2 linked regions of the Tribolium castaneum genome follow. The protein of the gene in region 1 purifies or fractionates together with the protein of each later gene. This does not show direct contact. Links are inferred from orthologs where the notes say so. Each region holds a gene or a part of one and is shown on either strand. Other genes may lie near its edges.

The links.
Region 2: the proteins of nuclear RNA export factor 1 (region 1) and RanGAP purify together in Homo sapiens (co-immunoprecipitation; 3 studies listed by BioGRID and IntAct, with this or other methods). This does not show direct contact. The link is inferred for Tribolium castaneum from reciprocal best matches to the Homo sapiens genes NXF1 and RANGAP1.

Annotation. Positions count from the first base shown.
Region 1 is NC_087399.1:3,670,525-3,675,024, reverse strand, and holds the start of nuclear RNA export factor 1, read right to left. Parts: upstream 2,833-4,500; 5' UTR 2,696-2,832; coding exon 2,641-2,695; intron 2,588-2,640; coding exon 2,325-2,587; intron 2,275-2,324; coding exon 2,188-2,274; intron 2,140-2,187; coding exon 1,705-2,139; intron 1,657-1,704; coding exon 1,547-1,656; intron 1-1,546. Other genes in the region: Rint1 (RAD50-interacting protein 1), read right to left, coding at 3,039-3,252, 3,301-3,827, 3,920-4,254, 4,362-4,500.
Region 2 is NC_087394.1:31,333,296-31,337,726, forward strand, and holds the start of RanGAP (ran GTPase-activating protein 1), read left to right. Parts: upstream 1-1,387; 5' UTR 1,388-2,971; coding exon 2,972-3,083; intron 3,084-3,139; coding exon 3,140-3,327; intron 3,328-3,378; coding exon 3,379-3,693; intron 3,694-3,750; coding exon 3,751-4,389; intron 4,390-4,431. UniProt on the Homo sapiens protein: GTPase activator for RAN. Converts cytoplasmic GTP-bound RAN to GDP-bound RAN, which is essential for RAN-mediated nuclear import and export. Mediates dissociation of cargo from nuclear export complexes containing XPO1, RAN and RANBP2 after nuclear export.

The sequences.
Region 1 (4,500 bases):
ACATCCCTTTTTCGTTTTTTATCTTTCATTTAGGGCGGATTTTACAATCGTAGGATTACTTTATCTAAGAAATAAATTTTGAAAAATACATTGTTATAACAATTGTAACCATAGTAATTATACTAGAAATAAATTATCTGGGGTTTATCTGACGATTATAAAATCCACCCTTGATGAAACGTTGAAACTCATTCAAGTATTTAAGCAAAAATAATTTATTATGTAAATATGTTGTAAATATTTTATTATGTAAATAAAAAAAGAAGAAATACTGCTTTATTTTGAATTTTTTTCTAGGAACGGAATTATAACTATGTTACAATTGTGAATTAGTGGGATAAACTCATTCAAGAAGTATTTGGGCGAAAAAAAAATTATTATGTAAATGAAAAAGAATAAATACAGCTTTATGCTGATTTTTTTTCTAGGAACGGAAATTGATTTAGTCACAAATTCTGAGTTAGTGATTTTTGTACCGTATTTTCAGCCACTTCTCATTTCCTAACACATTATTTATTTGAAAAAAAATAGGATACAATAGCTCCAGTATTTTGTGCCCTCTTCAGTTTAATTCAAAAACTTACGAAAATCTAATTTTGTACAAAGTGTTAAACAATCAAAATTTATTGAAGTTTGTTATTTTGGGAATTAAACCTCCGAGGAATTTTGCAACCGATCAGACAGTTGTTACACAATTTCAAAGTAAGACAAGCTTCGTAAATTTAAAACTAAAACAGCATTACACGATCAACAATTTATATTACTCCTGCATTAAACAACAAAACTAATAAATTTAGAATAAATCGCCACTGAAGAGCATATAATTTTTCAATTTTTTAACGGTATTATTTAGTATTTCTTTTCATTATTATGTCTTGTATCAATTCCATAAGATTACTACATAAAACAAAAAAATATAATAATTATTGTACTATGAGGAGTCATTGATTGTTTAAGGTGCAGAAAAACAAGACAATCTGCTTGATTTACAAGCATTTTTGCCAAATTACATACACATTTAAGTGTTCTGGTCCACTCCTTGTAGTTCTTCTGTCTTCTTAAACTAACTGCATTGTTTATGGACAGCAAAATCTTGCAATGCTTGTCCAGCTATCGCTTTACGAAGCTTCGTAACTGCTGTAAGGACGCACCTTTGAGAAACCTCCTCTCACTTTGATAATACAAAACAAAAATTATGTAATCCCATGGAAATGTTTGTATGTGATTTTTTTTTATTTTTATACACTTCAGTGACTTAATTATAGTCAAACAATAATATTAAAAGGTTGCCAAATGCAGAATTCAGCCACAATGCAACGAAGCCACATGTAATGCTACTTAAGTTTTAAACAAATTATCGCGAAAATTTGGGACTTTGAAATTTGCGTAACAACAAATTTCGTTAATAATTTTCAAGTACTTTTATTCCATTGTTGGCAGAAAACCTCTTTTTTATTCAAGTGACAATCTCCGATAACCAGTCACCCTCATATGCATTCACGTTCATAACATGATGACTACAAAAAATAAATTAGTTCAACATTACCCAATGTACGCCTCTTGGTCCTTGTATTTGTTGCATAATGGATTTCCATTTAAAACAATATCGACGATAGGTAGTCCAATAAAAGGGTCCAACATTGACAGATCCTTAAACTGAATCCCCAAATTTACAAAATCCCCGATTTTGGGCAACAACATTACCTTATTATTTCCTAGATGCAAAATTTTTAAATGGGGCAGTTTCTCATTGGTCTTCTTTAAATACGACAAGTTTGCTATTTTGTTATCGAATAAATTAATCGCTTCAATTTCTGGGATATTCTCCGCGATTATTTCCAAAACTGTTAGAAAAATGATCGGTTTGAACAGTACACAGAAATTGTCTTGTAGGTCAGGGTCGGCGTGGAATTTCGTTAAATCGAGCGCTTTATTAGCGGCATTGTACCGCTTAGCCATCGTTAATTTAATTTTCTCCTTCATCTCACTATTAACGTCAACATTTGGCATCCCATGACTGACCTTAATCAGCAATTTAAACCCGTCGGGCATTTGAATCTGGCGATCTAAATCGTACAGCTTTTCCGCGGCTTTAAACTCATCCATGTAAAAAGTGGCAGTTGTGCCGTTTACACTCCACTGGAGACAAAAAATCAGTCAAAAACCCTCACACAAACAAACCATTACCGTAATTGGCCACAAGGGCAAAGGTTGGATCCGCTCGAGCAGCGTCTTCAAGACGAACGCCTTCTCGTATTTATTCCCAAACGGCAACTAGCAAAACACGTGTAAAACCCCCAAAAAGCCTCACTTAATACACTTACTGTCACGCGGTACCAACCGAAGGGGCTCTCCAAAAGCCGCCGTTTCTTGTGATTGGGCACGGGCGAGTCCCCGCGACCGCCCCGTCTGCCTTTAAACTGCTTCCGGTTGAAGTTTCGCCCGCCCCCGGACGAGGCCCCCATGTCAATGTCTTCATCTTCCAGGTACGCCCTACTCGCCGCTGCCCAGTTTCTATTGTCCTTTTTATACTTGTTTGACTTGAAACTCACTTTGCGGGTCTCGCCACCGCCGCGAAAATCATGCTCTGGCAATTTACTGCGTTTTAAACGAATCGCGTGGAGTGTGCTGGGGACTTACCACTGTATTGGCTTCTCCACGACGGTTTGTTGTATTTTCCGCCCTTTGAGGCCATAGTAGCGTCTCAATTACTTACTAGCACTTAACTATAACTATTATTGTTTTTTTAATAATTTTTTTGAGCCTGATTTAACACCACTTCACTTTCGACAAGTAAACGCCATTGATACGCGCTGCCAACAAGGCGAGGCCAAATTCCCTGAGAAAATCACCGACTTTTGAATAGTAGAGTACAGGAAATTTGTAAGGTTCTGACTTGTTTTTTAAGACGCCAAATATTCTGGCCCAGAAGTAACATTTTATACTCTACTCTAGATTCACTTACAGGGTGATTCAATGAAATGCAATGGTGGGGAAAACATTTATTATAAAATTTCTCAACAAAACGTATAAATGCTTCAATCAACGTCCATCCTATTAACAGTAATGTCGGTGCGCTGGTTTAGAATCTTAACGGCCATTTTTGGGGTGAAGCTGACCACCCCAACCTCCTTGAGGGCTCTCCCGCGGGAGTCCTCAATACCTGTGGCCCCCTCAAGAGCCAAGAGAGTCTCTCGTAGTAGCAAAGCGGACCCTTTAGTTATATTTAAAAGATTGCAAGCTTCAATCAGTCTGCAACAGTTCTTATTTTCCACTTTACCGACTGAGTAAATAACTTACTGGACGAAATACGTTTCGGGCCTTTCGGTATATTGCGAAAATAACGGCAGTAAATTCCTTGTTACGTCATACTTTAACTGCAAAGCGCCTCCAGTGTTAAATCTATTATCAAGGACAAGATCCTCAAAGAGGTAATTATCTAATTGTTGCGCAACCGAGCGCCAAACTATCGTAAAAAGTTTCGAAGCTAGAGTTTTTTGCAGTTGGTGTAGTCGTTTAGCCACGATTTCGAAAATAGGGCAGGCTGTGGGTGTTAAAGACAGGCCTTTGATGTCTTTACCGACATTCATAGAGGACCACCTTTCCCTCCTGTAGGCTTTACCTTGTGACCTGACTTCCAACATGACATAATCTGATAAATTAAATAACAAGTCGCGTCTCATGTGCCTATAGAGTGATAAAGTTTCGGCAAAAACAGTTTCACCCTCAATATCCGTGGGGTCAAAGTCGTCCGAATCACTTGACGGGCTTGTGGGTGCTTTGTAGTCATTCAACTGGCTTTTGTAGTAGTATAAATTCAAATAGTGCTGAAACACTTGCATAAGTATAGATAGTGCCATTTGATTGGCTGAAAGTCTGCGTTCAGCCAATCAAATCGCACGGTTCGAGCCAGCCGTACCAACATTGCCCCCCAATCAACTAAAACATTCTCGATGTAATAGATCGTGTTAGCAATCGTGGGGATCTTCGATTCGACTATATTTTCATGTTCCGCGTTAACCAGTTGCAATAATCTTATTCTAAAATCATCCAGTAACTCTAACTGGAGGTCTAAGAACTGCAAGCGGTGGCCGGGTTGTGGCAATGCCTCGTAACGTTCCGTGATTGTCTGAAGAAGCGTTATAAAAGCATCGGCACATGTTGTTATTTTCAGCTCTTCAATATCGTAAGTTAGCGGCTCGAAAGGATCGACTGTGGCTGAGGACATCATCGCGTCCATTTTTTCCATAGCATCTGACAAAATATTATCAGAACAAATTATCTCCTAGGCGATTGGTCGCACAACCTCCTTCTTATTTTAAATTTAAATTTAAGGAGGCTGTGAACTCACGCCAACTCACATTTTTTCTCCATAGCCATCCACTTAATAATGATTTTAGCTTGAGTTAAAACGGCTAAAATACTCGGCTGCGTCGGTGGATAACTGTAGGTTTCACGCAATTCTTTATCAAAGCCAAGAGCTTCGTCAATAGAGTGCGA
Region 2 (4,431 bases), on another chromosome or scaffold:
CCAAATCCTTCCAGTCCGCGTTGGTCCAAGTGGTGAACTTCTCCAAAATATAGGCCGCCAAGCCCACCGGAGAATCGTTCAGAGCCACCCCCACGGTGTCGGGCTTGGTGGCTTGCAAGTGCATGTACCCCATTTCCAGCAAAATATTTGAGTAGAAAGCCGAGAGCGGATATATTTTCGATTCCATCTCCTTTGAAACGATTAGGGGAGGGTAAATACTGCCCAAAAGAAGTTTCAAGTTGGATAACGGGGTGTTAACGAAACACATGTTGGAGTGAACCCCCAGCACATGTTCCGGGAACAAAGTGGCCATGTTCTGGACAATCAGCGCCCCCCAGTCGCCCCCTTGGATGTAATATTTGTCAAAACCGATCCGTTTCATGAAGTTTTTGAACACCACGGACATTTCAATCGGACCCAGACCGGGGCGAACTGCCGCCTCCGAGAATCCGTAACCGGGAAGTGACGGGACAATGACTTCGAAGACGAAGTTGCGGCCTTCGGCCGGTTTAGTTAGGAGGGGGATAATGTCGTAGAACTCCCGGACTGATCCGGGCCAGCCATGGAGGAGGAGGAGCGGGAGGACTTTGAGGTTTCCAGGACTTGGGGGTTTGACGTGGATGTAGTGTAGTCGGAGTCCTTGGACGCTGACCGTGAACTGGGGATACTGGTTGAGGAACTTCTCGCGTTCCCTCCAGTTGTATTTGGTCCTCCAGTGGTCGATGATTTTGCCCAGGAGCTTGGTGTTCATGCCGTAGTGCTGCTGGGCCCCCTCGAGTGGGGGCACCAAGGGGCGCGCGTTGGCCAGGCGGTGCTGGAGGTCCTTGAGAACCTAAAACATGAGATTATGCAATCGACGTTCGCGACAATAAACGGTGACCTAGAACTTGATTGAGTGATATTTTTGTTGTCTGTTTATTTGTACGCTAATTGGTTTGGTGTTTTTGTTTACCTCGTCAGAGACATTGATTTTGAAAGGCTTGATCGCGGTGTCTTCTTTCGAGGGGTCGCGGGGGCCCCACCAAGTGTTTTCTAATTTTGGAACAGGTGGGGTTTCGAACAGTTTACTGATTTGGTAAGCTGTTAGGACTGTGATAATCACTAGAACTAGTTTGATGATTAGGCCCATGTTTTGCGCGTTAAATGCCGGTTGTGTATTTAAATTGTTTACAAACGATGAGACCGCACCGCTTGGGAGGATAACACGCTACTGAAGTTTGAACTATGACTCTGGCTTATAAAAGTTTTAAAGTATAAATACAAATTGATAGCTGTAATTCGTGCACACACTTACCTATCATAAGATATGACTTTCAAATATTTATCATATAAAAAGTTTAGATAGGTCTAGACACATCAATACTTGTTTCCACAAGTTTTTGGCAAGTTTTAATGACTTGGATGTTTGATACAAAGTCATGTACAATGGATTTATAGACATTTTGCACTAATTACTATAATTAATTGTTTGTGATACAAATAACACGGCATAAAAATAAAAATTATTGGTGAAAACGAAGGTGGAATGAGTTATTTTTCAGTTCTTCCACTCATTCTGATTCAGCATTTCACTGTTGAAATATGATGACTAACTATTATTAAAAACTAGAAATAAATTGAAATATAAAAAAATACAAATGAAATCTTTTGACGCTGAAAGATCAATAAAAAATATACCTGCACAGTATGTAAAAGCTGTACAGTTTCTCACTGTCCATCCTGGTGAAAATAGCGTGCTCTTGGGATTGAGTTGTCTTGGTAACAGGTCACTCATTTGTACCCAAATGGTTCTTAAGAAAGTGAACCTATTTTACTTTTCTACCAGACCGTACTAAAGCAGACCTCAATATGTCCAAAAAATATTTTTAAAAGACACGTTGGAACTTCTAAAGCTCGCGAAATCGTCGAAATTAAAGTTTGTTGTCTATCTGGACTTTGCCATTGGTTTTCTATATTGAGATTGAAACGGAAACATTTTTTATTGAAGATAGTCGTATATAATTGTATTATTAGGATATTAAGAGTATAAGCGAAGCGTTATACATATGTGCCAAGGCTAGTTGCTTGACTGCCGACTGCAGTCCGAGTAATATACACTATTTTTTCTCCAAACGTATAAAACAACAACATAATTAAATAGATTATTTAAAAAAGCACCACAATTTGTGTTATTCCTGAATCCGGACACTACATTGACAACTTTTACCAACCAAAAAAAAAAATTCGCAAAATGGTTGACGCATATCAGCTCGTAACTTACGCATTGTTTGGTAAAAGAACAGTGTTAACAACAATTTTTTTACTAATTTTAACGCTATTTCTATTGAAAATAGTTCAGTAACATGTAATACGCTCAGAAATACTTCTTCATTATCCAGTATGTGTTAGGTTTTCTCCCATAAAACGACCAATAAAGCTGAAATAGTGTTAAAACTCAAAGTAATAATACAGCAATTTTAATGCCAGATTTATTCTTTATTGTCCAATATTTCTTTTATTCGCAGACGACGACTACTATAATTACTATTCTTTGTAATCTCACATATGAGGAAAATTATTACTATCATGTTTTTTTAGTATTTGGACACTTTTCATTATTATCTTCGCTCAATAATGACTCGCTCTTTGTAAGAAGATTCCACAATATTTTTTTATAATTCTTAACAATCTGAGAAGAGGTATCTTTAACGTTGTTAAAAATAAGATAAGATAGGTTTGATGCTTACTGCATTGTGGTAAAATTTTTTAATCCTTCCTCGTATATCGAGGAAGCAAGCTCTTTTAGGAACTTTTCTATTTTACATGCCTAAACTGACAGTCCAGAAAAATGACACCTAACGTCAAACACTTTAAGGTCAAAATCGAGAATTTCTGAATATCTGAACCAACTTTAAAAAATTCCAACGGCTTGACACGCGTGAGCGATTGTAATTTATTAAATAATAGTTGTAGTATTGTGTAAATAATAAAAATGACAAATACCAATGTAGACGACCTTACAAGTGCCTTACAAGGCACTCGTGTGAGCCCCACTGGGGTCACCTTTGCCGGCCAGTCTTTAAAACTTGATACTGTTGATGACGGTAAGGTTATATCAAACCCCATTGCACCAATCGACATAAATTTATCAAACTCGCAGCAAAAAGCGTAATTGAAGAGATAGAAAAATGCACCAACCTCCAATTTTTAAACTTGGAAGGCAATACTTTGGGAGTTGAAGCGTCCAAAGGCATTGCCAAAGCATTGGAAAAACATCCCGAGTTTAAGAGAGCGCTATGGAAGGACATGTTTACGGGCAGAATGAAAACAGAAATACCGAAAGCTTTGGTATAATCTAACCAATTATATACAAACAAAAAAATTGAGTCAAAATTTCAGGAATTTCTTGGTAGTGGTTTAGTAACGGCAGGTGCCCGCTTGACTGAACTGGACATGAGTGACAATGCTTTCGGCCCAATTGGTGTCGAAGGACTTGCTGCTCTTTTGAGAAGCTCCTCATGCTATGCTTTAGAAGAACTCAGGTTAAATAATAACGGCCTAGGCATCACTGGTGGTAAATTGTTAGCGTCAGCCCTAACAGACTGCTATAACTCTAGTAAAGAAACGGGAAAACCACTCCAGCTCAAGGTTTTTATCGCTGGAAGAAACCGACTTGAGAATGAAGGTGCAAAAGCACTTGCTGAGGTTTTCAAGGTAAAATAAATTTCCAATCAGTGACCTATAACTTGACAAAACAATATTTCTTCACAGATGATTGGTACACTTGAAGAAATAGCAATGCCCCAGAATGGTATTTACCACGTTGGCATATCGGCACTATCTGAGGCTTTTACCCAAAATAAAAATCTGCAAATTTTAAACTTGAATGACAATACGATTGGTGAAAAGGGGGCTGAGGCCATTGCTAAAGCCCTCCCACACTTGCAACAGTTGAAAGAAATCAATTTTGGCGACTGTTTGCTGAAAACTGCCGGAGCTATTTCTCTAGCAAATGTTTTAAAAACTGGTCATGCCAACTTGGAGGAGTTAACACTTGGGCACAACGAAATTCGCCTGAAAGGGGGGCTTCAGTTGGTTAAAGCCATGGCGAATAAAAGTAAATTGAAAGTGTTAAATTTGAACGGAAATCAGTTTGGGGAAGACGGTCGTAAACAAATTGAAACCGAAATTAAACAAATAGGCAAATTAAATTCCTTGGGAAGTTTAAGCGGGGATGAGTCTGAGGACAGTGAGGAGGAAACCAGTGAAGAAGTGTCGCACACTGAGAGTGACATGGAGGAGGAAATCATTGAGCCAAAAACAGCCACCGATTTTCTGAATTCGCCAACTGAGGAAATTTTTATTGCACTTGGTGATGCCAGAAATGAGCTGATTTTAAGAGAAGCTAAAGTATTTTTCCCCTAATGTTTTAATTCCTAGTAACTCTTAATT